Arabidopsis thaliana: one gene and its partners. The protein of the gene in region 3 interacts with the protein of the main gene of each other region in a pairwise test. Each region holds a gene or a part of one and is shown on either strand. Other genes may lie near its edges.

Evidence for each region.
Region 1: the proteins of AT3G63210 (region 3) and ZFP7 interact in a two-hybrid assay, tested with the Arabidopsis thaliana proteins (one large-scale study listed by BioGRID).
Region 2: the proteins of AT3G63210 (region 3) and AT2G31985 interact in a two-hybrid assay, tested with the Arabidopsis thaliana proteins (one large-scale study listed by BioGRID).

The regions. Positions count from the first base shown.
Region 1 is NC_003070.9:8,722,267-8,733,036, forward strand, and holds ZFP7 (zinc finger protein 7), read right to left. Parts: upstream 4,947-10,770; 5' UTR 4,695-4,946; intron 4,396-4,694; 5' UTR 4,373-4,395; coding exon 3,743-4,372; 3' UTR 3,523-3,742; downstream 1-3,522. Other genes in the region: AT1G24610 (Rubisco methyltransferase family protein), read right to left, coding at 124-445; AT1G24620 (EF hand calcium-binding protein family), read right to left, coding at 1,627-2,187. UniProt on the Arabidopsis thaliana protein: Acts as a negative regulator of abscisic acid (ABA) signaling during germination and early seedling development.
Region 2 is NC_003071.7:13,610,489-13,621,680, forward strand, and holds AT2G31985 (lipoprotein (DUF1264)), read right to left. Parts: upstream 5,205-11,192; 5' UTR 5,132-5,204; coding exon 4,986-5,131; intron 4,697-4,985; coding exon 4,293-4,696; intron 3,774-4,292; coding exon 3,598-3,773; 3' UTR 3,440-3,597; downstream 1-3,439. Other genes in the region: AT2G31990 (Exostosin family protein), read right to left, coding at 1,012-1,844, 2,457-3,201; AT2G32000 (DNA topoisomerase, type IA, core), read right to left, coding at 5,511-6,149, 6,239-6,418, 6,525-6,737, 6,864-6,992, 7,116-7,284, 7,379-7,657, 7,915-7,994, 8,350-8,469 and 7 more.
Region 3 is NC_003074.8:23,348,976-23,360,312, forward strand, and holds AT3G63210 (mediator of aba-regulated dormancy protein (DUF581)), read right to left. Parts: upstream 6,506-11,337; 5' UTR 5,932-6,505; coding exon 5,210-5,931; intron 5,130-5,209; coding exon of another isoform or gene 5,114-5,129; coding exon 5,044-5,113; coding exon of another isoform or gene 5,016-5,043; 3' UTR 4,539-5,015; downstream 1-4,538. Other genes in the region: AT3G63215 (uncharacterized protein), read left to right, coding at 5,016-5,129, 5,255-5,365; AT3G63220 (Galactose oxidase/kelch repeat superfamily protein), read right to left, coding at 8,565-9,623; AT3G63230 (senescence-associated-like protein (DUF581)), read left to right, coding at 10,658-10,851, 10,967-11,054, 11,178-11,337. UniProt on the Arabidopsis thaliana protein: May act as an adapter to facilitate the interaction of SnRK1 complex with effector proteins, conferring tissue- and stimulus-type specific differences in the SnRK1 regulation pathway. Involved in seed dormancy control.

The DNA of each region.
Region 1 (10,770 bases), on a different chromosome or scaffold from region 3:
GCTAAGATTTAGATTTAAGACCAAGTAGCACCACTATGTAAGCTTTAGGATCCTCTAGATGCAAATTTCCAGTAATCGCATTGAACAACAGCGAGATTCATTGAGGAACGGATAAGTACTTACCAGGAACACGACGGGCCAATGCGGAGAGGAGAGAGGACGATGAAGATGACGAATCATCTGATTCGAAGCGTAAGGGAACGTGAGGAGGGAGAGAGATTAGGTCGGTGCCTGGAGAGATTTGCTCGGTGGAAATGAGTCCGATACCAAATTGAGTCTCCTGAGAGAGCTTAACCGCGTGGTGAACGAAGCCGCCTTCTCGCTTGATCCACCGGATGAGGTCTGGTGGATGAGGCGCCAACCGTGACGGCAGAGACGCGGCCAAACATGTGAAGGGACGGATTTGAGCTGCTAGAGAAGCTATCGCCATTTTCGAATTGGCCATGAGTTCCGACGAAGCGGACCCGGTTCACTGTTGCTAGAGGATTAAGATCCGGACCGGGTTTAGTTTTTATTCGGCGCCTGGGTCCATTGTTAAAAGGAATACTAAAACTAATGGGCTTGTTAGTTAGTTTTTCGTCGTAAATGGGCTTTTGAAAAAAATAACGTTTGCGTTTGTATTAAAAATTTACAAAATTTAGTTATGTTAAATCATTTTTTTTTAATATGCATACACCAAAAATTTTACAAATGAGTTCATCTTTTTATGTTAGTTTGTTGCGAACCAAAATTCATAAACGGTAAATAAAAATCGTTTTGTTCATTGCAAATTTGGAACCATTCAAAGCATTTGTAAAAACTTAAAGACAAAGATGAACAGATGTTACATTTTGATGTTCGATTATCAACATATTTGGTTCTTATACTAAATATTTGAATAAATTTGGTACCCTAAACTTATAAATATAAATTTCTAATGATTAGTGAAGAATCGTAATATATGATTTGAATATTATTGATTATTGATTTTGAGATTGAATAGTGTTTTTAGGGATGAAATGTGATCATATTTTGATTTCAAAAACGACATAAATTCCTTATTTTTGTTGAGCGGTTTAGATTGAAGGAAATTAATTTTATTGAACGGTTTAAATTGAATCGAATCATATAAAATTTAGAAGATTGTTAAGACCAAATTACCCTTAATGATTTGGAATAGCAAAGAACAAAATCCAAAATTAAAATCAAAATTGAGGCCAAATTAGACAAAATTTCAATTTGTACTTCCCTTTTAATAATAAAGGGATAATTTTTAGGTGTAAAAACAAACCCAAAAACTAGCATTCGAAACAAATGCAATAGACATATGTCAAAGAAATTAGCTTATAATGTAGAGTAAGAAATGAGATTTGTGGTTATTATTTATTCACATAATTTTCACTGTATATGCATTCAAATTAATCAAGTCCCAAAGCAGAACTGAATACAAAAAAAAGAGAGATAAATTAAAATTTTAAAATCACGTTATCTTGAAGGGAATTACAAATCCCAAAGAACAAAGACAACAACAAAAAAAAAAAAGATTGAAACAATGGTGGAATAATAAACAATGACGACGAAAAGGAAGAACACGAAAAAGAAGAAGAAACGGAGAATTCAGTTTCAGCAGTGTCCACGAAAGAAACTCTACCTCGGACCACCTCCCATGACATTATCACGTCTAGATCCCATAGTCATCATAATCTTAAACTCTTCAAAATCAATCGTACCATCACCATCTTTATCAACACCACCAATCATCTTCCTACACTCCGCGATCGAACATTCATCACCAAGACTCCTCAAAACCTCATGCAACTCCTCAGCCGATATCGAACCATTCCCATCGATATCGTAAACCGAAAACGCATCTTTCAGATTCTCCAAAACATCATTTTGATCCATACCTTTCGTGTTCAGCTCCACAAACTCTTCAAAGTTTATGTAACCATCTCCTTTACGATCTATCTCAGTGATCGCTTTCTCTAGTTCTTCTTCTGGTACCTCATGACCTAGACTCGTCATTATTGCACCAAGTTCCTTTGACGAGATCTTACCATCTCCGTTCACGTCGAATTTCTTGAAAACTGCTTCGAGTTCTCTGATCTCTGTTTTGCCTGAACGTGCCTTTTGAAGGTAAGGTGAATCAGCTCCGATGCCGACATTGGAAGATGAACCACCGTTGGATCCTTGGTTTTTGTTGAACATATTGTTATTGTTCCAAAATCACACAAATGAGAAGAGAAAATCGGATTAAGAGAGATATTCGTATTTGTGTGTTTCCCAAAGGAAGCGGATGATTCTCTTGATCGCTAGCTAATTTTGGAAATTTTGTCAACTAAATCTGGAAGATTTCCTAAAAACTCTCTCAGTTTTATGTAAATCCGTAATTAAAATATGGATATGAATTAAATAAATATTTGACATTTTTGTGTCATGCGTAAGTACTGCTCTTCCAATATCGAGTAGCGACCGCTTCTCTCTAATAACCTTTACATGATAACAGATTTTGTATGATTATTTAGTTTCTGAATTGTTAAAACATCATAATCAGAACTTTATAATTATCATTCCAAAGTCAAAATGATTATTAATATTTAAACAAGCAATTGGGTGTATAAGGACGAAATAAATATACACTTGATGTTGATTACTTGCATTTAGTAGCGTAAATAATGATTTTGTAATAGTATAAAGCCAACTTCGTCCGAATGTCTCCCACTAATCTCGGCACAATCACGGTCTACGGATTATTTCGTTCTTTTGAACATAGCTATATATTACTTTAAAAATGTTTGGTTAATAGATTATACTCTGTACTTCAAAAAAGAAACTAGATACGCTATATGTACTTTATCACACATCCTACAATTATTTGAGTTGGTCGTACTTTTACTATATGTAGTTTTCTTTGATTTATTCGTATAAAGAACTTATAAAAATTTTGCACAAAAAAAAAAAGAACTTATAAAATAAAAGATGCTCAATTTTAATATTGGTTGTCTAGTCAAAGTTTTAAAATTTATTCATATTTTGACCATGTAAACAAATAAGCTTTGATTAGTGAGGTTATGTAAACAATATATACAGATTAATTTTGCCCCCAAAAAAAAAATATAGATCATATGAGAAAAAATGAATCACAAGAATTTACCGCATATATGGCAACAAAATTCATTAGAACTTCAGAGTTTTATTTATTTATTTGGAACTTCAGAGTAAGCAACTTTAGTTTAGGAATTCTTAGCAAAAAAACTTTAGTTTTTAGGAATAAATATATGGAAGTGAAGACACAAACATGCAAGAAAAGAAAACAACTTGTAATGAATTTGCAAATAATGGAGACATCAATGTCTTAAAGTTGATTCTGGTTAAGACATAATTTGATATGCATGATAAATAAGATGGCTTAAATCGGTTAGTATGTTCAGGTGTCCAAATATTAAATCTACTTTGGTCGACGTTTTGGCATGTCTGGCTCAGTTTCCGCGAGAAGACATACAAATGATTCAATCTTTCATGAACGAAACAAAATTTTTCCACCGAACATACTAATGTTTTTCACTTCCTAGATGAAAATAGTTAATGATTTAACTGGTGTGGGAGCTCGTATAATGGTATGAATGAAACCGTAATGTAATGAACAACCTCATTTAATATAACAACAAAGTTTTTCATCAATTTCTATCAACTGTCTCCAACTTATCTTCTGTATGTCTAACAATAGAAAAATAACAATAAAGATATAATCTCCTTAATCCTTTTAGAGTCTTAAGGTAAGATCAGGCTTTGAGCTATTATTATCTACACCTCCATTTGCCGCAACCGAGTTCAAATCAAGGCCTGACTCAGTACTAGCCACCACAACCACCGGAGCCTCAGCTTCCTCAACCACCTGACGGAAGCTGCCGGGCCAGAAGAAGTCGCTACCACCATCGTCATAGTCAAAGAACAACGGCACGGTGTTACCAAAATACCCTTGATGATGAAACCTAGAAACAAGAGGCTGAGGCTGAGATAAGGTGTGATGAAGTAAACCGGAGTGAGCTTGCATCCCAAGGGAAGAAGAAGTGTATGTGTAAGGCCTGTGATGGTGACCAAACATTCTTCCCATGTGCATTGCTCGTTTGGCCATTGTTCTTTCTCGCTTGTGTGCGTTCTGGTGACCTCCAAGAGCTTGAGAGCTATAGAACTTGCGTCTGCAGTAGTTGCAAGAGAAGACTCTTGGGTTTGCTTCACACTTTGTGCTCTTTGTGTCATCGTTGAAAGTATCGTTGAGCTTGAGATCGAGTGAAACATGGTTTGATTCTGGTTTGGACAGATCTTGATTTGACGAGGCTTCTCCTCCTCTGCTGGCTGGTGTTTCTCGTGAGGCATCATCAGATTCCGTCATTTATTCCAAGTTTTGGTCTTAACCTGAAATCATAATTAAGTCAAAGCAGAACAACAAAACTTGTCGAATCTATAAATCTAAGATATTGAGCAAAGAAGCAAGTAAAGACTTATACAGAGTTAACAACTTGGTTCAAGACCTAAAAACAAAGTTCTTGAATTCGGACAAGAATCAGCAAGTCCGTAGCATAAAGAAGACCAATCTAAATGAAGCTTTAAAGTTTTAATCCAAGGAAGTAGTAAGGATAATATAAACAAGAATCGAAGATCAGAGAGAGAGAGAGACAGAGAGAGATAAGAAGTTTGGAGGGTACTGTGCTTACGAGATCTGGGAAGAGACAGCCGACAGAAGCTGAAGTAGTTGACTTGGAAGCTATGAAGAGGAAGAAGAATCTAAATAAGAAAAGTGGTACTCTATGTGTTTACCAGAAATGGGTCAATTCACATGTAGAGAAAATAAAGACAGATAGAAGAGATAGGATTGGTGAAGAAGAGCATAAGAATAAGAGGTACTGAGAGAGAGAGAGAGAGAGAGAGAGAGAGAGAGTTATGTTTAAACAAATGTGGAAACGCAAATGTTGGAGAGATGGAGATGGTGTCTGGTGAAACACATGGGAGAATAAAAGTGTCTGCCAGTTAGACTTTTAGACCTCTGTTTTTTTCTCTATAGTTCAACGATTTTTTTAGGGGCACTTAGCCAAATAGTAGTATTATTTTTTCTAAATTAATCAAGTAAAGTACTCTGCTTTTTCTTAAATATATATAGAAATAGAACCAAGAAATATTTTGAATTACTTTATTACAGTGTTCGTAAAGATGTAGCCGTATAGGCGTTGGTATGCACGTCTTCGAAAGTAGTGTTTATTATACGTTCATTGTGATGTGCTATAGATAAACTTTGTCGCATCAATAAGTTTTGAAAACATTTCGAAGTTGTTGAATAGTCATGATTTGTTGAAAAGATTTGAATTAGATGTGTGAAAATTGAAATCTGTATATAAGAAAAAAGAAAGCAGATAAACAAATTGTATGTTTTATAGTTAGAAAAACAAACATAATATTGTTGAATTATTTATAGCACTCGTCAGAGTTCTTCATTTAATTTGGATATTTTCATGAACATTTAATAATTGAACTCGGCCACTTATATAGTAGGAAAAAACGAATAGAGAGCAACGAATTTGATAATGTTGCATGGAGCCCATACATTCATTCCCCCGGCTTTACCTTTACTTTTGGATGTGGACATTTCTTGCTGTGTTTTTTCTGATATATCACATGTGATTTTAAAGTCTCTGCTTTCTTTGTCTCATTTCTATCTAACTTTTCTTTTTTTTGCAAAGTTTTTGTTAAAAAAAACTTTTTTCCGATACTGTCTCTGTGTGGTATGTTACCAAATCACTCGTGCGGTGAAAAATAAGGTGTTATGTTTTTCTTGTTCTATGAAAACGTTGTTAGTAATCAATTTTTTTTATTACTAGTCGCTAAATTTTGTCATAATCACTAAACTTTGTTACCAAAACTACTAGAGTGAACCGAGTAACCAACGACTGTAAAACAAACCAAAGTTAATCGTTGCCATTAATTGCTAACAACTACAAAACGAAAAAGAAAAATATCGTTGGTCATTGTTGTTGTTGCTAGCAGCTATAAAACGTACGTGACCAATGATATTTTCCGTTGTTTTACCATCGGATGAGTCTTCATAGAGGGGTTTGTGTGTGTGGAACAATTCAAGCCAGGGCAAAATCAATCTTGGGATCGTGGCAAAAGACAAAGAGATAATGGTGTCTCCATATTTTATCTTTTTTTGTCTTTAATTCGTTGAGTGATTATGACATCTGCCCACTTTTGTTCCATTTCCATCCCAACTTGTCTGTGGGCCTTTGTGCCCACTTCAATTCATTAGCTTTCCCAATCACATTTCACAAATGATTGTTCCATCGTTTCTATGTTGCTGGTTGGTATTTTTAAGATTTTGTAAAAACTTTTTTCCTTGGGTAACAAGAAGTTGAACAATCAAATAATTTTAGTAAAAACATTAGTGGACAAATGCCACTATGAAAATGGAGCTTAAAATTGGTTGTATCCACACCATAAAGTAGTAGTGACTAGTGAGTTTCAACTGAGTCTTATACTGTTGATTCGTAGTTCAATGTGGTCAATTAATTATTTAGAGCAGTTTTCGGTAGAATTATGCAAAACTCATTACTGAAATCAGCATCCAAATAAGCTATTTTGAAATCTCATTACTTACCAAAATTCTTTTCATCAAATTCTCACCAAAATTTGCTAGACATTCTAAAATGACTTGATGCAATCATCAATGTTTTCTATAGTACAAACTAAGAAGTTGTTGCGCTACGAAGTAAAAGTTAGGTTATATATTTTGGTTATAGTTCGCTTATAATTTTGGACTTAGTTTTCCGAATATATTTATGTCTTTCGCGGGCTTAGTTTTTGAAAAAGTTTCGACTCTATTGGTCTTAATTGAGGGATAAAATTCTTTCTTGTACGATTTTAATTTTTGGTCGAATATCTCATATATACCGTATGAGGTCAAAAACTCAGCCCTCATGTGAGCAGCTAGCTACGTGATCAAGGAGCTGCGTAAAAAACACTTCCATGAGTTGCTTTTCTTGATGGAAACGATGCATTCAAGAGATGATTTGGTTGATATTCAAAGCTGGCTGGAATATGACCAAGTATATACAGTTGAGCCGGTTGGAAAATGTGGAGGTTTAGCTTTGCTTTGGAAGAGTAGTGTTCAGGTGGATCTGAAGTTTGTAGATAAGAACCTGATGGATGCTCAAGTACAGTTTGGAGCTGTTAATTTTTGTGTTTCTTGTGTTTATGGAGACCCAGATAGAAGTAAAAGAAGTCAGGCCTGGGAAAGAATTTCAAGGATTGGAGTGGGTAGAAGGGATAAATGGTGTATGTTTGGTGACTTCAATGACATTCTTCATAATGGTGAGAAAAATGGAGGTCCGAGAAGAAGTGATTTAGATTGTAAAGCCTTTAATGAGATGATTAAAGGTTGTGACCTTGTGGAAATGCCTGCTCATGGTAATGGTTTTACTTGGGCTGGAAGGAGAGGAGATCACTGGATTCAATGCAGATTAGATCGGGCTTTTGGTAACAAGGAGTGGTTCTGTTTCTTCCCGGTCTCTAATCAAACCTTTTTAGATTTTCGAGGTTCAGATCATAGACCGGTTTTGATAAAGCTGATGTCGTCTCAAGATTCTTATAGAGGGCAGTTTCGTTTTGATAAGAGGTTTCTGTTTAAAGAAGATGTTAAAGAAGCTATTATCAGAACTTGGAGTAGAGGCAAACACGGAACCAACATATCAGTGGCAGATAGATTGCGTGCTTGCAGAAAGTCCCTGAGTTCTTGGAAGAAACAAAATAACCTAAATTCCCTTGATAAAATCAATCAACTTGAGGCTGCTCTGGAAAAAGAACAGTCTTTGGTCTGGCCGATTTTTCAAAGAGTTTCTGTTTTAAAGAAGGACCTAGCAAAAGCCTATAGAGAAGAGGAGGCTTATTGGAAGCAAAAGAGTAGACAGAAATGGCTCAGAAGTGGGAATAGAAACTCTAAATATTTTCATGCTGCTGTGAAACAGAATAGGCAAAGGAAAAGAATTGAAAAGCTGAAAGATGTGAATGGTAACATGCAAACTTCAGAGGCAGCAAAAGGGGAAGTGGCTGCTGCTTATTTTGGGAATCTGTTTAAGTCCTCAAACCCTTCAGGCTTTACGGATTGGTTCTCAGGTTTGGTGCCGAGAGTATCTGAAGTTATGAATGAGAGTCTTGTTGGAGAAGTTAGTGCTCAGGAAATCAAAGAGGCTGTTTTCTCTATCAAGCCAGCTAGTGCCCCTGGTCCAGACGGTATGTCTGCTTTGTTTTTTCAACACTACTGGTCCACTGTTGGAAATCAGGTTACATCAGAGGTTAAAAAGTTTTTTGCTGATGGTATTATGCCTGCTGAGTGGAATTATACCCACCTTTGTTTAATACCAAAGACTCAACACCCAACAGAAATGGTGGACTTGCGGCCGATCAGTCTTTGTTCGGTCCTGTACAAAATAATCTCAAAGATTATGGCAAAGAGACTTCAACCATGGCTCCCTGAGATTGTTTCTGATACTCAATCTGCTTTTGTTTCTGAAAGATTGATTACTGATAATATTTTGGTGGCTCATGAGTTGGTTCACAGTTTGAAGGTTCACCCGCGTATCTCTTCAGAGTTTATGGCTGTAAAATCGGATATGTCTAAAGCATATGACCGTGTGGAGTGGAGCTATTTGAGATCCCTTTTGCTGTCTTTGGGTTTTCATCTGAAATGGGTTAACTGGATCATGGTTTGTGTTTCATCTGTCACTTACTCTGTTTTGATTAATGACTGTCCCTTTGGGTTGATTATCCTTCAAAGAGGTTTGAGACAGGGTGACCCATTATCTCCATTTCTCTTTGTTCTTTGCACTGAGGGTCTCACTCATTTGCTCAATAAGGCTCAATGGGAAGGAGCTCTGGAAGGAATTCAGTTTTCTGAGAATGGCCCTATGGTGCATCACTTGCTCTTTGCTGATGACAGTCTTTTCTTATGCAAAGCTTCAAGAGAGCAAAGTCTGGTCTTACAAAAGATTTTGAAGGTGTATGGTAATGCGACAGGTCAGACTATTAATTTGAACAAGTCTTCAATTACTTTTGGTGAAAAGGTAGATGAGCAATTGAAAGGTACTATCCGGACTTGTTTGGGAATTTTCACTGAGGGTGGGGCTGGGACCTATCTGGGGCTTCCAGAATGCTTTAGTGGGTCAAAGGTTGATATGTTGCATTACTTGAAGGATAGATTAAAAGAGAAACTGGATGTTTGGTTCACCAGATGCCTTTCACAGGGGGGTAAAGAGGTATTACTTAAATCTGTTGCTTTAGCGATGCCGGTTTTCGCTATGTCGTGTTTCAAGCTTCCCATTACTACTTGTGAAAATTTGGAGAGTGCAATGGCATCTTTTTGGTGGGATTCTTGTGATCATTCAAGGAAGATTCATTGGCAAAGTTGGGAAAGGCTGTGTTTACCAAAAGATAGTGGTGGTTTGGGGTTTCGTGATATCCAGTCTTTCAACCAGGCTCTTCTAGCGAAGCAAGCGTGGAGGCTGCTTCATTTCCCGGATTGCCTCCTTTCTAGGTTGTTGAAAAGTAGATATTTTGATGCTACTGATTTTCTGGATGCCGCTTTGAGTCAGAGACCTTCCTTTGGTTGGAGAAGCATTCTTTTTGGCAGAGAGCTTTTGTCTAAAGGTCTTCAAAAAAGGGTAGGTGATGGTGCCTCTTTGTTTGTATGGATAGATCCCTGGATAGATGATAATGGTTTTAGGGCCCCTTGGAGAAAAAACCTGATATATGATGTGACTTTAAAAGTTAAAGCCTTGTTAAACCCAAGAACGGGGTTTTGGGATGAAGAGGTTCTTCATGACTTATTCCTGCCAGAAGACATTCTCAGAATTAAAGCTATTAAACCAGTGATATCTCAAGCAGATTTTTTCGTTTGGAAGTTAAATAAAAGTGGAGATTTTTCTGTCAAGTCTGCCTATTGGTTAGCTTATCAAACAAAGAGCCAAAATCTGAGAAGCGAAGTCTCTATGCAGCCTTCTACTCTAGGGTTGAAAACTCAGGTGTGGAACCTTCAGACTGATCCAAAGATTAAGATTTTTCTTTGGAAGGTGCTTAGTGGTATTCTTCCGGTTGCCGAGAACTTGAATGGTAGAGGAATGTCGTTGATACCACATGTCAGGTCTGTGGTGAGCTTGGGGAATCGACGAATCATACCTTGTTTCTATGCCCACTCTCTAGACAAATTTGGGCTCTTTCTGATTATCCTTTTCCTCCTGATGGTTTTAGTAACGGCTCTATTTATTCCAACATCAATCATCTCTTGGAGAACAAAGATAATAAAGAATGGCCTATTAACCTCAGGAAAATTTTTCCATGGATTTTGTGGAGGATTTGGAAAAATAGGAACTCTTTCATCTTTGAGGGGATAAGCTACCCAGCTACTGATACAGTGATAAAGATTAGGGATGATGTGGTGGAATGGTTTGAAGCTCAATGCTTAGATGGTGAGGGTTCTGCCCTTAATCCTCCCCTGAGTAATGGTGTTCATTTTGTAGGCAGTGTATCGGAGAATTTATGGATTAAACCTCCAGCGAATTGGGTTAAATGTAACATTGGGGCTTCTTGGTAAAAAAGAAACAATTTTGCTGGAGGGGCTTGGGTTTTAAGAGATCAGGATGGTATAGTGTTGTTACACAGTAGACGTTCTTTTGCTCCTATCTCTAGCAAGGCTGATGCTTTGCTCAGATGTCTCCTATGGGCTATGGAGAGTATGGCCAGTCATAA
Region 2 (11,192 bases), on a different chromosome or scaffold from region 3:
TCCTTATCGCCTCGATTTGGTGTTGAAATATTGTTGTCGTTTTGCTGATTTTGTTATCATGCAAGAGAGAGTTTTTGTTTAGGAGAGCGACACGTATCAACTGAATTTGACATCTGCCCTATCTTCTCTTCGCATGCTGCTCACGTAGCACCTTCTCTTATACGTATGCCGAACTATTCAATAATTAACAACTCAATCCGTTACGGACAAGAGGAAATGTATAATGTCTTTATGTATTTGTTAACAATCAAGCTCTTTAACGAAATAAACTTTTCTTTTCGACACAACAATACTTTCATATAACTTTATAAACCCCTCTCCCCTCCTGGCCTCCTAGTTCAACGGAAAACAAAACAAAAATAGTTAATTAGTTATGATACAAATTTTTGGTTAACCATGATGGTAGATTGGTAGGTATACACAATTTGAAAATAAAATATAATTATATGTTTTGCCAAAATATGAATAGATATATTCATTAGAAGAGCGAGAGATATACATATAAGAACTGAGAGTTATAAAATTTGATATCAACCAAAATTTGGTAATCACCTTTAGAAAGAACCGTTAAAATTAAGAACCCCATAGACCACACCACACTTTGCTTCAAGCTACTACTGCTTTACGTCTTCCAACAAAGCCATTCAAAGCTTTACGCTGCTTTGGGCCGAAGATAAGAGACTAAATATACTAATGCTTTAACCAATCCTTATTGACAAACATTAATGAAAGCTATCGAGAGATGATTCAATGACATTCTATGTCTTCTCTCTTCGTCTGTTTCTCTCCCTAAGCGTAAGAGTCTCAAAGGGGACATTAAAATGGTCATTCACAGACATACGTATCCTACTACATCATAGATCCTGAAATTTTCGCATATCAAAAGGTTTTAAAATTGGGGAGAAAGTTTGCCATGTTTGATAGACTTATCTTTGTACAAGACCTATGAACAATTAAATACAATAACAAATGTAGGACATCTTCATTTGTTTAGGCTAACTATAAAATTTGCTAATCAGTTTTGAATTCGTTTCTCCTTATCCCTTCTATTCTCTCTAGCACTCCCTTCACAGCAACATCAAAAGAATCTTCAAGAATCTCTCCATCCGGTTTGTTCCGGTTTGGTTTAGCATACACAATCTTCGGAATCAATCTTATTACGTTTTCTCTCATACCAACCACTCTCTCATTTGGTATTCCACGCAAAATCTCTTCGATTTTGTTCTTTCCACCGGTTCTCAGCTCCTTAACCGTTATATAAACAGAATATTTGCTACTATTCTTAGGTATGTGCCATAAATATTGCTTGTATGCACTTCCTTGGTTAAAGAAAACCGGTATACAACCAGCCAAGATTGAATCAAATACCGATTTTCTGGTCAACGAATCACCCGGCGGTTGTAAGCAGAAAGTCGAACTCTCGAAAAGTTTCATCAGACTGATCGGATCATCACAGCTATTTGCATTGACGTCACAGTCAAGAAACCTACACGTTTTAGATGAACTCTTGCATTGTTTTATAACTTCAGTGCGAACCACACCGTTCTGGTTTCTGCTTGGTCTTTGAGCTCCGGCAAATGAGAAGAGGACCGTCCGGTTTGTAAGCCTGATCTTTTCTTGCCACTGAAGGATCTCGGGGGTTGACGTAGGGTGAAAGTAAGTAGGATAAGGAATTGCGAACTCGTTGTGGCTCGTTAGACTTCGTTCAATGCTGAGGAAAGTGAGGTTTAGCGACTCAGATAAGAGCATGAAGTTGGTTCCCCATGCTGACCTACTGCCGGAGTTTCGCCGGAAATCTCGTGAAATCCGACCGGTTACAAGGAAATGGTTTTTACCTGACATATCTGCATTTAATTTCAATTAGAGATAAAAGAAACAAAATATTTAATTTAATTGGCTATTTTGTCAAAAAGAAAATTTGGCGGACGGACCAAAAATACACGTTAAAAAATTGAATGTTGTAAATTTATATCAAATTTAAATTTAAATTGGGTGATTTGCAAAATTTTGTCAGTTATTACGAGGAAATGGTAGAATATACCTATATTTTTATTAGTAATAACTGAACTTTATTTTGTAGTTATGTCAAAAAAAGTTATTTGACCGACATACTTTAAAAACCTTTAAAATTAGGATTTTAATGTTATACTAAAATTTCACTTCCAATATATTATAGGATGTCAATAAATAAGATAGCTACGTTTATAGAATATTTTGTGTTGTTTCATATATAATTTTTATTTTATTTGTGAAAGCTAAAGAGTACTTAAAAAGGTTTACATTTATTCGAGAATAAAAAGGTTTTCATTTAAAAGTCGTCGGTGGAAAAGTCATCGCTAGCTTTGAATAATTTCGAGTAAATATTGATTAAATCGAAACAGCAAGAAGTAATTGCAAACAATTGAAAATATTAGGGGTCCAAAACGAAATAATACTAAAAAGTAAAACACGCGTACCTTTCCACTGAGGTTGCTTCTTGAGCCATTTAACAAGTTCCTTCCCGGCGGCGTCTCTCGCAGCAACGTTACGCCGCCGTAAATGTCGCCGGAAATCGAGGCCAGCATAATAAGGTACGTAAATAGCTGAAGCCAGTGAAGAATTTCTCGTCAAGCACTCGTAACTCTTCATTTTCTCGTGAAAAATCACTTCGAGCATGAACTGATTAGTAGCGTACCAGCTCGGAGAGTAGTCAGAACTTTTACCGCCGATCAAAGGTCCGAATCCGGAGTTGTCGAGATACTTACACATACTGATTTTGTCCTTTGGTCTTGTAATAGACTTACAATCTTTGATGATTTCAAGATTGAATCGAGAAGGTAGATTGTGGATATATATGTAGCGTCCGAGACACGTATCGTCCTCAGAAGATTTGTGACTGCGTTGATGATCGGTTCCAGTGGTGGCTGTGGTTTTGGTGGTGGTGATGAGTATGATTTTGTCTTGGGAGAGACGAAGGAGAAGCAGAGAGATGGAGAGAAGAGAAAGGAAAAGTAAAAGAGTGGTTGGTTTTTTCTTCCATGGATGATTCTCGATTGAAACTGATGAACTGTTGTTGTTCTTCATGGTGTTCTTGATTTGATGATCCATGTCAAAGTTTAGAGAGAAAAATGTCAGAAAGTCACACGCAAATAATATATTATTAATAAATATTTTGGTGTGGTGTCTTACAGAGGAATTTTTTGATTGGGGAATAAAAGTCATGATGTTTCATAATCTCAATTTTATAATCATATACATACGTAGGGTGGTTAGAAACTTCTTCTTGTGATTTTTATTTCCAAAAATCAAGTCAGAGTAGTATGGCTCTCGAGTCTGATTCCTATTGCTCGGAGCTGAATTATATAATAGTATATATCAACCTTTCTAACTAAATTGTTTACTACATTGCTTTTCATGGTTACTTAATTTAATTCATGTGAATTAGTTAACCTTTTCTTATAGATATTATTTCTTATCTTATTACTAATTATAAATAAGATCCACAAAGAAATAATCCAAACTATTTTAAGTAATCTTGTTGTCTAGTTCCGTACGTTTTGTGTTTACCAAAACATACATTGCTTGCTTTGAGGGCATTATTAGAGGTTTTAAGTAAACTCAGACAAAGACGCTGCCGACAGACTCAACCGGCTTGATATCGACCTCTCGTAGCTCTAGTTTCATCCCTTTGCCTCCTCCATTCGCCAATGGATGGATCCCGAGCTCAGGTCCAGACATATACGCCCGTGAGTCCCTCTCCCCCTCTACCGATACCCCAAACCGCTTCTCTGCCTCTGCATCCATCATCAAATCCAAATCCGATCAACTACAAATGATATATACTAACTACAGTGTGCCATATCAATGCCATTGCTAGCTAAACCGGTCTAGGTTGTTTCTCTATTGATACCCTAAACCGCTTATCTGTCTCTGAATCCATACCCAAATCCAAGCATAACCTACCAATGATCTTTAGTCTTTACTACATTATGCCATAAATAAAAGGAGCATTAGCTAAACATGTCTAGACGCCGTTCTACATAAATATAAATTGAAAAGTCAACGAGCAAATAATTGACAATTAAACGATAATTGGTTAAGAGTTAAATATAGACAGCCTATAATTGTTTTATGACAAAAACGCTTAATTTCAATGCCTAAAAAATAATAGTCATAACTACCTAGACCGTTTTTTCAACATTAAACTAAACACTGTCTATTGTTTTTTCTAAGAAAATTAAAATGTAAAACCACAAGAAATCTCACATTAATATAAGACATGATATAACTAATATACGAATTTTCTTACGTACCCTGAATCATCTCGTGGAAAAGCTGGCCATCGCGTGTAACAGCCATCATGACATTAGGTAAACCAATGGGAAGCTCATGGCCCAAATCAACTTGCCAAAAATGGAAAACTTTCCCATAAGTCTTAGCGACTTTATCAAGATCTTTACGCTGAATGGCACCTGGAACACCAGGCATGAACAAGAACCCTCCTTTCACTTCCCACTCGTGCGAGTGCCAAAGCTTCTTCTCTTCGTCAGGCAAAGTCATGAACAGCTTCTCTGACACTATGTACTCCAATCCAATTAGACGAGCGTTTGCATCCGGACCGTCGTAGATCAAACACTGACGCATCTCTTCGTTCACGTGACTGCAGAAATGGTGAGCCTCTACTTGTCGTGCCATGTCGTCAGCATAGAAATGGAACCTGCCATCACAAGAAATTAAATAACATGCCTTCTCTGTAACATTGTAAATACGGTTAAACCAAATCGAAATAGAATTTATCACGAATAAAAAAATTAGACGAGATTGCTCATTGGTGCCTTGTTAGTTAAAATTGATTACACATAATTTTTTGTTGGCCCAAAATATATATATATATATATATATATATTCAAAACAAGTAGCTATATGTTTTTTACTTTCATAGTGAGAATCACAAATCTAAGAGGCTTAAAAAGAGGTGGAGTTGACAAAGATCGGGTTTTACGTACGCGCAGAGATGTTGGTGGATTTGGTTAACCGGTGCAAAACTTTGAACAGCGGAGGCTGCAGTGTCAATTATGGAGGTTCCGGTCTTTGTTGTCTCCCCTGGAACCGCCGGTCCAGACGTGGTCGACGAGTGAACTGCTTTCTCCATTTTCCTAATCAATGATTTGCTCTTCCTCTTCAAAAACTTTTAAACAAGCAAAAAACAGAGTAATTGCAAAGAGAATAGATCATGCATTCAACTATGTTGTTATGATCTAAAAAAGGAAAGATTGTATGCATGACATGTGACACGTGACAAGCCCAAAAGATTACACTTGGGTTTTTTAGCTTTTCTTTAGGGCATAAACAAGAATTAGTCAAATGTTTAAAAGTTTTGGGGAGCTGTTTTAGATAAGTGTATGTGGAAAAAATCGAAGTAAAGCTAAAAAGATTATAAACTGTTCCTTGAAACGCAGGCAGTATTTCAGAATTTTGAATTTCCAATGATATGCAAGTAACGCAAAGACATAAACACAAAGTTTAGAGTTTCAAAAGTCTCTGAAACTCATTTTTGGGTCGACAGATTTTGAGCCTCTTCTCCCTCCTCTGCCTCGGCCTCTCCCTCGTCCCCTTCCCCTTCCTCCACGCCTCACAAAGGACCTCCCATGTTTCACTTCTACAAGTGAGAGAAGCAACTCGTCACATAGAACACATCCTTGATGCAGAGTGGCTCCGTTCTCCAGAGGAGTAGTTTTCTTGTTGAAATCGATCTCTATGATGGCTGAATCACACTCGGGACAGCGGTTACTAGTGGTGGTGATGCGATGAGCACCTTCCGGAAGCAAAACGATACAACTACACAAGTTGCAGTTGAGTTTCCACTTGGGGAAGCTAACCGGGTCCAAGACGAGCGTGCCTTCACACTCTGGACAAGCGCAGACTCCTTGGTTTCTGACAGAGTGTTGGCATGTGGGATGAGGACAGAGAGAACATGGCATGCCTGCACCGGTTTTGGTTTTGGCAGGAGCATTGGGCGTCTTAGAGGCTCCAAAAAGTGTGTCTATGCCTTCAAATGGAGGAGAGTTGTAGCAGTATGGGCATAGTGGAAATGACTTCCCCTCAGGTCCTGGAACTGAATAGATCACGAGCTCAAAGTTGTCTAAAGGACATGTGAGTTCCTTGTATAGCTGTGAGAAAATCCGTTAGCAAAGGATAAGAAAAACTAGAGATTCACTGAGGTTTCAGCTCAAGGGTTAAGGTGACGAAAGGGTTTTACCTTGACTGTGCCCTTTTGAGGAAGATAATAAACTTCTTCGCATGTGCCGCAGAAGAGACGTGGTGGGACTGCTGTGATATGTTTCATGTAACGCAAGCATTTTCCACATTTGCTTAAAGCACGACCAGAATCAGCCAGAGGAGAGAACTGTGCTTCAAAGAGGGCATCCATGTGTTCGATCTGAAAGGACAATATACGAAAGATGTTAAGGAGGAACAGATTAAATCGAAGACAATATCAGTAAATGCCTCCGAAGAAAACATAATATCAGCCAGGTTTTCCCAACCTGTTGAACAAAATAACTGAATTTACGCCGGAATTGCTGAATCACATGCTGCACAACGTGTGAATGATCAGCTTGGCCCTTGGCAACAAGAGTGATTTGTTGCTCGATAAAACTCCGGATGTCTGGTAAGCAAAGGTCTGGATCAATACACTGATAGCCTCTTATTAGCGTGATTCCTAACGCCGTTGGAACCATTTTCCTCCCAGATTGGACCTGCAAAAGTGTGTAAGCACCAAACAAGAGTAATGAGATTTTTCAGAAAACAAAAAAGGATCTTCCTGAGAGAGTAACATTGTAACAGTGAAGAAAAGCACACCGCCTTTGGGTAGGTTAACCCACCTGAACATAATTACGTTCACCAATGTTGTTTATATGTACAGCTATTGATGCATCTGTGCCTATGCCATGCTTCTCCATGAGAGATATCAGCTCACTCTCAGTAAGGTAGTCCGGAGGCGCAGTGTTCCCCTGTAGATTTTACAACATTCAAATACAAACAGAAAAAATAAACTAAAAGTGGAAACATTATAGTAATTTGTGTCCTAGTACAAAGCAAAGAGAGCAGTAACAAAAACTGGAGAAGAATGTGACCTCGTAAAGCTCCACTCTTAAAACTTCAATCCTCTCTCCTTTGAGAAAAGAAGGGAGTTTTTTCTCATCTACTGCAGACCATGGCATTATAGCTGTAAACCCCTTTTCTGTCACACGCTGCCCCGTACAATGGAAAGTTTCTCCACCAATTGACAATTCCACTTTAGTCCTGAGATACCCATCCAAGAGAATACCACATTTAAAATGTGCAAAGAATAAGCTGTAACTGACATGGATTAAGCTACAAACAAGGCTTTATTTACCTTATGTATTTGCAGTTAGGTGAAACAGTGCCAAGAAAATGTTGACAGACATACTGATAGAGTCGCCAAGCATCTCCTCCGACCATGACCTCGGTTGCTGCTCTCATTGGGGTGATAGGAGGATGGTCTCCAGCGTCAGTTCCTGACTTTGGCATATGAAATCCGTCTGAGAGCAGTCTCTGTACGTAACCACCCCATACTGGATTACTAACTTGTGCTCTGAGTGTGTCTGTGAAGTCGAATGAAGAAGGATAGGCTGTGCTTTCTGTGCGGGGATAGCTAGCACAAAACAAAGGACTTTGAGTCAAAAGTTTCCGTCACTTTAAATGTTTAAATAAATTATACAGCGAAAATTGTGATGTATGTATGTTCTCGTCAGCGACGGTTTTTTCCATTTCCTATCTACCAGTTCTTAATTAAACAAACAAAACTACCATTCAATAACGAATTGGGATTTACCAAAATTAGCCAATTATACGCTGGTAAAGAGGAGTTAAATGACAAAAATAATAATCTGGAGAATGGAGCAATCGAACCTGATGAAACCTTGAGTATACAATCGCTCTGCAAGATGCATAGCCGTCTGAGGCCCAAACCCTAGAGCACTTGAAGCAACCTGTGTAACCACTAATGTTATGCTCGATCAGGAGAGTAATTCGCATAAAAGTAGCTTTTATTGACCTTTGAACTCGTGAACAAGACTAAGCAATGGCAAAGCTCTAATCCCAACATTAAAAACAGAATTAACAAAACAAGAAGAGAACGAAGATCCCAATGTTGTTGCCAACTCATCCCCAAAAACAATTATGAAGCTGATATAAACAAAATTTCTTTGGATGCAGAATATTTCAGTTTTTCAGTCAGTGTACTGCGATCATTAGTACATGATATGGTGTTTGCTTAAAGTATAATGTACAACCAGGCGAGTTCATTTTAAAGGAATGGTAATCACGACTCCTGACTTTTCTGACCTTTAGCAAATTCACTGTGTTAAGACCAGCTGGGCGACCTTTGACTTCCTGCTTTTCTGATACGTCCATTACTTTTGCAGTTCTTCCTTCCACGACCAACTTTTGGAACACAGTAGCAGCCTATAATTTGTTAAAGCATATATATATCAGCAACATAAGATTAGAAAGCAACAGTCAAGAATGTCAAAGAAATTCTAAGACAAGAATGAGACACTAACTTCCAGGTCGAACAATCTTCGTCTCTCCCACTCTAGTTGGAGCTCATAACCATCCTTTCTTATATAAGGTCGCAGAGCCCAAAACTTTTCTGGCTTGAAAGTATTAATATGCATGTAGCGTTGCACACAAAACCCAAGAGTAGGTGTCTGGCATGGCCCATACCTGAAATAAACATTCAAAAGGATCTTTAAGTAGTTAAAAGACTTAAACCAGATGGATACAGTGACTTGTATCATAAAAAAGATGGGAAAATCTAGTTGACAATATAGTTAACAGAAAAAACTACTATTGAATGTGAAATCTGACGGAATGGACAGAAAATCACGCACACTCTTTCGAGCATTCTGAGGAATACTTAGTACGGAAAACACAGATGATCGAATTTAAACCCCCAAGAGAACCAGAACCATGATTGAATCACGACAACTCATTTCTTGTCCTATCATGAGAAATAAAGAGGTGCTTCGACAAAGATAAACAACATACAAGCCTAAGTCTTACAAAGCTATGTCTGTACTCTTTTTTAGTATTTACATGAAATGCATTACTCTGACACTCAAAATGACAGGAGATAACCACAACAGAATTCCATAGCTGCATCTTATATGATCAATTGTACCAAATACCCCAAGGAAAAAAGAAAAAAAATGCATTTGGACTAAAGAAAGAAGTTGACCCTACTTTTCAGCGACTCTTTACACAGAACAAAAAGAGAGGAAAGGAAGGAGACAAGAGGAAACTGACGAGATAACTCTGCAGTCTAGATTCTGATATTTGCCTTGGAAATAACTTGTTTGAAATCGCGAGAATGCTACACCAACTTTTAGATCTATCTCTTGACGAGCATCTACTGCCAGTGCCTCATCTCTGTTTGGTTCAACAAGGTTGTCCATGGCCTTTGATATATCTTTCTCAGTCACAGAAGAAAACCGTGCCCGATAAACCTTTCTCTTACTATCTTTCATGTCAAAGCCAGTAGACTCGATAACTACAAAAATTTAATGGTCAACAAGTTAAAGCAACGGCCATGTGCATTACCAAATATAATCGGCATGCAAAAGGTACTTTTGCAGGAGAACAAAGATTAAGATATTGGTGGTTGCACCACATATGCAGGGGCTAACTGTATACTTAAACACCCAATCTACTACTACAACTTAAAGGGTCTACCATTGGATACTGGCATCATATACAGATTGATTTAGTAAAAACAGAGAAGACTTAGTCACTGAATCAAATTTACCAGCAGAGTGGATGCAATGGTTAGGCACAGTAATTTTGTATGTCTCAAGCGAAAAATCTGGTGAGAACAAAAATGAAAAACGGTAGCTAAAGACTTGCCTTCAAAACATATATTTTCTCCTTCACGATCGCAATCCAACCACAACACCATATAACTGCAACCACGAGCTTCATTACTTAAATGCCTACAAATATGAGCCTGAGATTTGAAGACTGTTAGAGAAAAGTGTAATACCGTAAATAAAAGAATACAAGAAACATATGACTACTAGAAAGATGCATCTCTACTACTAACAATACGTATAACCCAGCTAAAGCACTCCCCATGCACAAAGAAAAGAGATAAGATCATGAGAACTATTTACCTTTGGGTTTGATTCCTTTTTAATAATTGGAGCGTCGAAAAGATCTTGTGGATCAATAGTTGCCCAATTCTGATATTTTTCTGGGAAATCTACACTAGAATATGAGAGTGGTATTTAGAAAGACTGAGAAATCTGCTTTGAAATATTTGGAATGTCTGCAAGCAATGGTTTTCACAGCAGCTTTGTACACGAGATATAGTCCAAGAGATAATGAAAGATGAAAACCATTTTCCAAACTCGCGAGGGCAGCAAGAAAAAGAGAAACGTGAATATGCGTATTATACAGGGAGTGTGATTATGCAGCAGCAGATGACTCTTTGATTTGAATATGATTGATAGGCAAGAGAGAACCTGAAAACATGACCGATAACAGATGTAACTCTATAATGTGCTTTGAAGCCTCGAAACATGCCATCAAATTCATGCACCTCTGTACTGCCTCTCCTTGTAGACATCTGAATCAGAAGGAGAAAGATATCCAAGTTGGAACACACACAACTGATTCGGTTTTTAACCTCTAAAGGATACTGAAGTTTTAAAAGTGAAATCCAGTCAACAAAGCTACGTTAAAGAATCCATCAGAGCTGAGCATACTTCAATTGATTCTATCTCTTAATTCAACAAGAATCGAATTAACGCACAACAGTTCCGGTACTAAAATCAAAGCTACTTGCAGTTAGGCTTTTAGAAACTAGAGAATCGATAGAGATAGAGAGGTATATAAACCTGGCCATGTGAGAGAACTGAAGCTATAGAGAGGGCAATGCTGGGCTTCTCCGCCACCTGATGAAAAGAAGAATTGTAAGAGATGAAGAAATAATGATGGGAGAAGTAGAATCGAAATTGATTAATAGGAGAACCCAGTTCACTAACCATAAGAACTCTGAGGAGATTAGCCATTGAAGAAGACGTCAGAATCGGGTCAAAACTCAAAGCTCAGGCGGCGTCGAATGAGCTTTTTAGCCGGCGACGGAAACTAAAATCAGCTTAAACGAGAAACGACGACTATACACCGCT
Region 3 (11,337 bases):
AAGAAACAAGTCAAGTACTATTTGATATTTGATTTCAGAATCTGTAAATATGATTGACAGAAAGAAAGAAAAAGAATATGTACGTATTAATTAAACACTCAATTTTTGTAAGGCAGATACAATGAATTAACAAGGATGCGACAAAACAATTTTATTTTATTTTCAGAAATATGCAACAAACAACGATATTCATTTGACAATAGTTTAAACTACGAAAATTACGAGAGTTATTAAAATTATATATATACTTCGATTCAATCTTTTGTTTTGTTTTTTCAGTCTTTTGTTTTTGTTCATCCCTTCGATTCTATTTTTGTTGCCAAAGCATATACATATATGCATATTATATGATGAAGCATGTCTCTTTCGTAAATACATGCCTTTGTGTGGCTTTTTTTTTTGTTTCTTAAGAGAACAAATTTGTATCCCAACATTGCTTAAGAGACCAATTTATATAAGAACTTTTAATTTTTATGATGTTTTTTATATAAAAAAAAGATGTTAAAATTTCATTGTTGTTTCTTCGTTTTTTATATTTTCAAAATCTTTTGGTATATGTCTAAACTTGTTTGTTTTTATTCCTATAATTATTTAGATGTAGTCATATTATTTAATTATGTCGTCAAATTTGCATAAAAGATATCTTTCAGTAGACCACAACTAAAATTTACGAGATATTTGAATTAATATATGAGGTCAAAATTTGTTTGGATTAAAATAATTTGACAAAAAAATATTCTACAATTTTTTAACATAGATTATAAATTATCTTTTAAGTTAATTAATAAATAAAATTAATATGTCAGTTAAAATGTGCAGAGGTGTCACCGAAGGAGAACAATCATGAATCATTTAATATATAGGAAGATTATTAATTAACTGATGTCTTGCCCATTCCATATATTTAAATTAATATTAGTATAAAACAAGATTATCCCACCCACCTAATTTGATTATTTTGATTTTTTAAGTGTCCGATCAAATTTATTAGGTTTTGGAAATGAGATAGGCTAAGTAGCCGGTAGTTAAAAGGTTTGAGTGGGTGCCGTAGAGCCACTATGAGCTTAATAGATTGAAGGCACAGTAACATCATAAGCACATAATCATATAATTTGTGCATTAATTAAGACTTCATCTATAGTGCTTACTAATCTTTAATTTGTAATCTTAACTTTGTCGGTTTGGCTATGCAAAATACATCCCACCAAGAAAGAAGCATAAATAAGTAAAAACTACAATATAACAAAACTAAAATAGAAAGAAAGATTAATTATGGAGATAAGTACTAGTTGGTGGGAGACACTGTTCATTATCTGATGATGACCACGTAATTATTCAACTTTTCTTACTTAATTAATTAATCTCAAGGTCACCTCTCATGGACCGTTCGTTTTTCTTTTTTTATTTCCTCTCCATTACCGACAACTCTTTTAAGAAATATATAAGCAACCTATAAAGTCTTCTAAATTCATAGCTGTGATTGAATTCCACATACAGGGTAATATATAAGACATTATCAATTTTATTGTTCTTCAAAGAAGAAAGGCTAAATAAAAATAGAAGTGGCAGTAATCAAGTCTCGAGAATTTCCTTGGAGTTCTATGGTACGGCTAAAGTCATCAATATGGTGATAGGTTGGATAATTGAATATTTTTGTCTTGTTTTTTTTCATTTGACAAAGTAAATAATATGATAAATTAAAAGGGAGTGATAAAAAAATATGCAGAAATAGAAAATATAAGAACAGAACACGAAATTATTTGGGACCATATTCGCCCACCAATACCACGCTTTATTCAATATTATTTTTATATCACAATTATGCGTTCTGCATACAAAGTGATAAAATAAATTAACCTAAAGCTCGACCATGCACTTTTCTTTCTTTTAAAAATTCGTGTTTTTGCAAAGCCATTATAACGATCCTAGGCGGGATGATATTTGAAGATAGCATACAACAATCATAATGAAAAATGAAAATAATTTCTATATTATAAAACGATTAAAAACAATAATTCATTAAAATGTGATTAATAAGCCTAAAGTTGTGTTTCTGTTTAAATTACTCATCAATGCGTCGAAGCACGTAGCCCCCGTTAAATGCAAATGTGGCGTCCTTGTGTAATTAATAACTCCAACTATATGATGTGATTAAATATCTTTCTTTTTATTTCAAATATCAAATAAATAAAAAATAACATTAATATAAAGATTGCTAATAGTGTTCAATGCAAATTTCGATATTCAGTATATCGACCATACAAAGAATAATCAAGTACTAATATTTATATGGAAAAAGTAAAATAATTAAGAGTTTGTCATAATATATTGTTTTATATAATATCACGTTATATATATGAGATAATGCGTATAAGAAGAAAAAGAATATAGATGTGTACAGAATCCAATTATCCAAGTACAAATGTTTTAGAAATAACGTTTTGCAGCGTTGTTGTATAAGTACATAACGGATCATTTTGGCGGCGATTGAGAGATTCAAAAACGTCAAAGATGAAAAGATTCTCGTTTGTTTTTATTTCTTTATTAAATAATAACAATAGTGATTATATGTTAGCTTTATGATGTGCTTAGTTAATCCCAAAATCGGCTATGATGAGATTTAAGAAGCCCCAAATAAATAAAGTATAATGTTTGTGGCCCTTCTTCAATTAATATAAAGAAAACAATAGTGAACAAAAAAATGAAGCCGATGAAAAAGAAAAAGTATTCAACTGTTGCAAGATATAAATATTTGAATTTATCCGTTACAATATACGAGTATGGCAGATTGATTTATTTGTACAAGTGATCCAAGCATTTGATGTATAAGTAAGTAGTAAATCAACGAACAACAAATACAGTAGAGAGAGTATGAAAAAGAAATACGAGTCAACCAGCCAACAACTAATTTCAAATATAAAGTCGAATGTTTGATGGATCCAATAATGCGAGTTATAGAACATATAATAATGAAAGAACGTCCATATATTATTTATTAATCGAACTACTTTTTTTGTTGAATGTGAACGTACAATAATTGATTTCTACTATATGTATATGCAGCAAAATAATCGTGTTGTTTTTAAAATCAATGCATAAGTCATACAAATTTCAGTTTTGAAATTGTTAAGGTATTAATTTAATCACAATCACGAACTTAACTATATTTTTGCTGTGTAACTGATTAGTAAATAACCTGCTATATTTTAAATAGTACATATGCTTTTTTTTTTTTTTTTTTTTGGCAAAAAATTGTACATATGCTTATAATCTAAAACTTATAAAAGAGAAAAATACAAGTGGTTGACAAAATAAAAGAAGAGGAAGGAAATATCGGCACCGTCATGTGTATAATAGACCTGACCGCACACGTGTGGGTTTTTGTACTTGTCATAAGTTTTGCTTTTTTATTTTTGTTTGCTTAAAATGGTGTTTAAATAAAATAAAAGAAAGGAAGTCGAATCTGTAATATAAAAGTGAAGTCAGGGGCAAATGTAATGGATTTTGCTAAGATCTTCTTGTCTGTCTTCTTCAAATCCTTTTTTATTTTTCTTTACAAATGAAGGCAACTTGTGTGTTACACTGTTTGTTACATAAAAATAGTTTTTTGTCGCATAGCGACGACAATGAACATAATACGGACGAGAACCTCTGGCGGAAACCTCCACCACCATTCGGCCCAACTTTTCTATTGATAGATCTCTTCCTCTTCTTTTTTTTTTGTAACATTTTTCTTACAACAAATGATTTACCAAAACAAAAGATTCATTATTACAAATGATTCCTTATAAATTTCTACTATGTGTGTCACGGGAAACCCAAAGGGACAGTACATTTTATTTATTTTACTTTATGACTGACAGCTTTGTTTCTTCATATGTGTATCTTCAATTGTTCATTCTTCATAAATCACTTGATTCACAACAAATACTATCATGCATGATTATTATAGAGTATGCAGAAAGCTGACATTAGACTCAGAGTCTGAACACATTACCAGATTAATTTTGGTATCTCCTATATGGCTATATCTAGTATATACGACCTTCCTCTCATTAGTCTTAACATCTACTCCAACATCCATGTTGCATATATTAAGGTACTGGCTGATTCGAATAATAAACTTAAACATGATACTGACACAACTTCACACTTTGTTTTTACAATTAAATGGTTCCGTGAGATTGGGCCTTCTAGCTGCTCTGATATTAAATTTACGAGTCTATTCCAAAAAAAAAAAAGTGATGAGGGTCCTCAACATTTAGTTATCTGTCTTGCAAATTGGGCACGCCACCGAGACATGCAATCATCCCTGGGACTCTAACCTCATTACTTGCGGACCCTATTAGAAACGGCCCATATCTGGCCCGTATTATTAGGGACCGGCCTAATTATGCATGATATAGCCCATCGATATTTAACCACTCAAAATCCCCTCCCCTGCATCTATGGTTTGATCTGGTTTGGTTTGATTGCGATTAGAGTTATTATATACTTACTTGTAAACACCAAATCAGACTCATTTCACAGGATAAAAACACGAGTTCAATGGCTTCCCAGAAACCTTTCTCGACTGAAAAATGAGTCTGAGTTCAGAATCTGAGGTAAACGGTAACAAAACTTGATATATTGTTGTAACTTGGCGCTGTCAAAGTTAACAAAATTAAATCAAAAAGCAAATGGCCTTATAGCAATAACATTTTCCCTCTACAAGACCGCATAGAGCCACGACGAATGTTAGGTTATGGAAAAGACTGATGCTTTTGATATTTTCTGATTCAGATGGCAGTATTCTGCAAGTTTATGATATTATTGAGCCCTCCGAGTCACTCACTCTCATGACACAAAGAAAAAAGTTATCAACTCTCTCTCTATCTTTCACATATCTGCAGGCGAGAAAGGTTATGACTAGAAATACAAATACCCCCACCCAAAAAAAGAAAGAAAGAGAAGAAGCATCAGAGAACTAAAAGAATAATACAAAAGTAGATGATGCTGTGACAAAATCAATAAAAATGAAAAGAGATGGAGAAGGAGTGCTAGCTAGGTCTCCATTTGATCAAGAAGCATCTCCTGGTACCTGCACTCGCTGCTGCAAAAACCTTTCTCTCCCCTGCACCACAACCATTGTGATTAAGTTTAGTTTTGGAACCACTCTATGATCTGATTAAAGTCAAATACATAGATAAAAGATTGTGGAGGTACGAACCTGTATATGTAGATGTCCTGTTTCTGGTCAAGATTCTTCTTGCAGGTGAAGCAACGGCTTAGAAAACTCTCGGTGCTCTTGGTCTCCATGGCTGGTTGGGGTAAAGGAACAGAGCAAGGAGTAGCCTCCACGAAAACAGAGTTGTCGAAGATATGAGTGATGGTTGGGTTAGGACCGTGAGAGATGACGCGCGTGTAGTCCTCCGTCTGGTCAATCTCGCTCACTGCTAAGACCTTCGTTTGGACACAAGGACTAAGTTGACAAGGAGGATATCTGATGCCGGTTTTAGTTCCAAAATCAGCTGATGATGGGATCTGGACTCTGAGCTTTGACCCGAAAAGGACCATCTTGTTGACAGGTTTTCTAGAGTGGTCTCTGTTACTGTCTCCGTCTTTCACGAGATCGGCTAGGCCAAAGACGTCTGGAGAGTGAAAACGCTGGGGATTAGGGATAGTTGGCTCGAAATAGGAAACGGGTTTAGGGTTTTTGGAGGAGAAGATGGATGGGTTAGCTTCGAGTATAGACGTAGGGCTAACGAGTGAGAAATCAGAGTCAAAGGGAGTCATCATCATCTTAGAAGTGAAAAACCTAAACTTGGGAGAGCTAAAGAGAGATGGTGAGCAGTGGCAAGTGTTAGGCTTTGGAGGTGGAGGTTGATCAGCCATTAACAGAGATGTTTGTTTCTTAGTCGTCACGGCTGCTCTAGGTTTGTTTCTAAGCATAGTTAAAGACCGGTGAGGGTAAGGATCATAACTCAGTAGCTTCCATGGAGAGAGGAAAGCAATGAGTCTGCGTAAGAGAAAATATCTAAAATGAAAGAGAAGAAGAATAGAGAGAATTTGGTACAATTATTGAGAAACTCTGACTGCTTCTGGTATTAATGGGGTCTCTCACTCCTATGAAATGATGATCCTCTCCTCACTCGCAAAAATCAGATTAAAAGTTGCTTTCACTTATCTCTTTCCTCTCTTCTTTATTCCTTCCAAAGAGCGAGAGAGAGAGAGTGATCTCGAGAGACGGGACGTTGTAGATTTAACCAAGAAATGCATGCAACTTTACGGATTTACCCCTTACATTTATTAACACATAGAGATCTCAATTATTTTCGATCCATTATTCATATTAGGGACCGGATATGATTGAATGTGTATCGTACTCTCTTTTTTTTGTCGTCGTGTATTTTAACAACAACATACTACATTTTGGGTCGACGATAAAAGATTGGAAACATCTTTTGCAAGATTATCGAATTTGTACTCTCTCTTTATTTTTGTTGCATGTACAAACTTTTATTTAGTTTATTAGGTATACACTTGAACGGCGATACATTCATTATTTGTGCATTGATGTTTGGGCCTCTGAAACACAGGCTCTCCTTTTATTTTATACTACTATTTTTCATTTTTGTAAAAAAAACTGTGAGTTATTTATTTCTTACAATTTGTATCCATTATTATATAATACGGCATTTTGTCATTATTTCGTTTGTCTTTCTCAAATCATAATTCACTTTCATTTGGGTTTCTTGTTTTATTAATCAAAGAATCAGTGACGTTATTTAAAAATGTAGGAACAATAATCAGTGAATAATGTACATGTTAATCTATACTACTAAATATTTTATAAACAGTTTGTGGATAAAAAACAAATGTAATCAGAGGGGGGTCCACAGTTGCACCTGCTTTGCTTAATCCAATAATTAAGTTCTAGATAAGCGCCACGTGTGTTTGTCTACTAGTAAACGTTTGATTGAATGGTCTTGATGCGTTTTACTCCATTACAAGACAAATTATATAATAATAATCACTTATTTGACCCAAAAAGTTATATAACTCGTCGAACCACTTTTATTGTTGTTGATCTTGTTTTTCTCGAATCCCATCTAACTATCGCATTTTCATTGTTTAAGCTCGTCAACTTCTGATTCATACCAAGATTCAAGAAAAAACAAAAAGAGTTTCAAGTTGCAAGATTATGTATAATCATAACTTCACTTACAAATAATCAACGCAAAAGAAAACATAAATATTACTTGGTAGCCTAGTAGGGAAAGAAAAGTAACGTATTCGGATATAATACGATAGAGGAAGGAATTAGTGATAGACCCACGGTGGGGCTAAAAGGATGTGGACAGGAGTGTGTAGGTCCTCTCCTCCTCCTCCTCTACGGTTTTCGCTATTTCTATGACGTTGTGATCATATTGGCCTTTTCTTCTCCCCCTGTCGATTCAAGCTTTTATTTTCTATGTTTTGTTTAGCCAAGGAAATTTTGTGTATTTGTGTCTTGTTTTCATGCCTCAAGGTCTCTTCTTGCCTCAATTGGGTTTCTCTTTTTTTTTTTTTTTTTCTTTCGGATAAATCTAATTTTGTGAATATCCATCTGATTAATTTTCTTACAAATAAGAAGAAACAAATAGCGACTACTCATCCATATATGCCATTGAATGTGCTATTTCTTTTTAATGTAATGAGTGTGTCCATCGATTCCGTAATTGTGTTTGTAACCCATTCAGTCTAACAACTTTGATCCCTTAATCACTACGACTACTACCAGAAGCATACGTATATGTTTTGACTCCCAATCCATAGACGTGACTCTTGATAGATTGATTTCCTTCTAAACCACCTGACGTAGAGGTTATAAAATATAATTGGAGTGGAATCAGCACTAATCATTCATTTGATTCGATACTGAAATTTTTATATTTCTTTCCATTTCATGATTTCTTTGATGACTCGCCATCTTTAATCATGGTTATTATTAATTCGAAAGTGGCACCGATATATTGTGTTTATCAAGGATATAGTCATATCACCCTAATTACCAAAGATAAAGAAAGCAAATGAGCAAGATAATGAGAGGTCCATTTTCTTAAATCATTGCTTCTTTGTCAACATGTCTTAAATCCGAATCATTACTCTTATACACTACAAAATACTCCTTAGAGCTTGAATACCACAATTTTGTTTTTCTGTTCAATGACCAAATATCTCCATGTTCAAACCCATATTGCTCTTTCAGATTGTTTAAGGCCCAACACAAAATAACTTATGCAACCTGTCCAAACCCAACCTGATATCATTCCCACATATAGCCCAATCAATAGACCTATTTTTTTTTTTTTTTTTTCACCAGACTCATAAATGATATTTTCTCAAGACATAAATCTGCTATTCGTTTATAGACAATAACCAGGCTTTGATGACATTTTCTCAAGACATAGCTGCTATTCGTTTATTTTCATTTCTCAAAGAAGATTTAAAAACAATAATGCTCACAACAGTTAACAAACAGGAAGAAAATACAAAACAAAAAAGAACTGAAAGACGTCATAATGAAGCCACATTCCCATCCATCAGATTGTCAACTGCGTGCAGCCAAGGATCGTCCCACGACACCTTGTCATCGGCGCCACACTCCTCCAGGCCGGACGATCATTCCCAACTGTCAAAGCGTCGACATCTGACAAGGGCTTGATGTCCCAATTGAGCCTATCAGGTCCGATCACTCCTCCTACGATCAAAACCTCATCACTCAAACTCGTCATCGCCATTCCGATCCTCCGCTTAAACTCTGAGGCCGATGCAACCATCTTCCACGTGTCACCTTCTTGCTTGAACACCAGCCCATGGCTCATCACGTAAAGCACGTCCTCAACGACCACCATTGGACCTTGCGGCCAGCCATAGTCTTTGACATCCCACCCGAGTTTAACGCTCTCAAGAACCTGCACCGTGGACAAGCCTTTGTGCAAGACGTGGACTTTCCCGTTTACCACTAGACCCGAGCAGGCAGAGTTATGAGTCTGGTGGAGATCTGGGATGGATGTCCAGACGTCATTCTCAGGATCATACATCTCCGCTCCAGATATGGATTTCCTGCAAGTGGTGAATCCGCCAGCAACAACAATCTTCCCTTGAAGAACGCAGCAGGCGAACATAGCACGAGGCACGAGCATTGAAGCGCGAGGAGTCCACTGTCTCTGTACAAAGTCGTAAGACCAGACCTGGTCAGTAGCAAAGGTACCGTCGTGATCCCCGGTAACAGGGCTGACAGCGTCGCTGCCACCGCCTAAGACAAAGAGCATGCCGGCAGTAGTGACAGCACCGAAATGGGCAAGGTGGCGGATACGAGAAGGAAGGAGAGGGAGGGTGAGCCAGCGATCACAGTTGGGACTGTAGACTTGCCAGATGTTCTCAGGATCGAAAGCACAGACGCAGAGGAGATGCTCAGAAGATCGGAGCTCTTTACGGACTCTGAAGAGCTCATGACTGCGGATAGCAGCTCGCCAGGAGCGAGAGACGAGTTCTAAATTGGGATGAAGGTGTAAAGGCACATGAGCCAGGCATCTCAGAGCCACTGCTTCGGGGATTCCATCCAGCAGCCCAGACATTGTTTCTTGTCTGTAACACATTTATGAGATTGATCATCAGATACAAGCAATTGCAAATGCCCAATCTTTGAATACAAATATGCCAAAATTGACCAAAAAAGCTGAGAAGCGTGTAAAGTGAAGATTTTGGGTGAAGTAACTTATTTCACCGTAAGACCTAATAAATTCTTCTCTCGAAGCTGCATCACACAGCATTATAATCGATTTCAAAAGACACCGCCGCATCACACAGCAAATAATCGATGAAATTGGATTTAAAGAAACCCTAAAAACTTGAGGCGAGAGAGAGAATCAAGATTGGGCTCCGACGAAAGCATTTAATCGAATCCAATGCAAAGCAAAAGCGGAAACTGAGACACCGGCGACGATTACGAAAGAGAGACAAATCAAAGGGAACACAAAGAAGAAGAAGAAGTCGCACGCTAAGAATTAGATTAGATTAGCATAATAAACCAACAACAGATTTGGAGGTAATTTTACCTGAAGCGCGGCGGGAGATTGATGAACACGAAGGAAGGAGATTGTGATGATAGATATCTCTCGGGAGAAACAAGTTAGCTTGTGATTTTGCCGGACGACGACAATTGAATCAAATCAAATCAAATCGAGGTTAAGGAACAACAAGAGCAAGGAGAGAACAAGGTTTTAATAAAGAAGCTACGTCGTCGTTTTTACGTTTATGATATTACTAAACCGATTTTATAATCATCATTTATGATTCTCCCCCGTACCGGCCTTTTTATGTTTTTCTTTGGGTTGCTGCTTTCCACACAAAATATCAAAACGTTTTCTTTTCATCAACACATACACATGTGAGAGAAATTGACACCAAGTCTAGAAGAATACAAACTTATGTCGATTTGGATATTCTCTGATCCTAATATCTCTATTTTGGCAACTTCATCAAATTTTTAAACAAAAATGTTATTTTCATTCTTTTTTACCTCAAAATCGTATTTACATATATGCTATTATATTTAAAATCTTTGTGAGTTTTGATCGTAACATGAAAACGATTATAAAACGATTACAATCCGAAATCCCTCTCTCAAGGGATGGCGAATATAATGATTCCGAGCAAGAGACCGCGAGCCCCAAGCTTCTCTGAGAAGCATCCAAAGTACGTAGGTTCTTCGGATTGGTTGCCGGCAGAGAAAGACAAGGCTCAAGTTCAGCTCACTAACTTCCTTGAGCTATGTCGTTTCTGCAAGAAGAATCTACGTCATGACGAGGACGTTTTCATGTACGGGTCAGTTTTTTGCTTCTTTTCCTCTCTGCTTAGATATATCATTGTTAGGGATTCTTTGTGTGTATTGTTACTATGGTTTTCATTTGTGAAATTCCTTGTTGCAACCATCTGGCAGATACTTGGGGGCATTCTGTTCAAAACAATGCAGAGCAAAACAGATGGCATGCGACGTCTTTAGAGATTTCTCGAGACAGAAAGCAAATGTTAAGAAGGGAAGAACATCCAAAGATGAGGGATTAGATAGGATCTCATCATCACCATCATCATCATCATCATCATCATGCTTTTATATATGATTTTGAATTTGATGATGATTTGGGGTTCAGTGTAGATGGATGTGTGCAACTATTAAGCCTTTTGCCTCGTTTTTTAAGGGGAATTGGCTTACTACTCTCACAAGTTTGCATCGGCATATTATTATCTGTCGATCAAACTTTCTCTTTGGTTATTTGGGATTCTCCTTTTTTAGTCTTCTTTGCATAACCA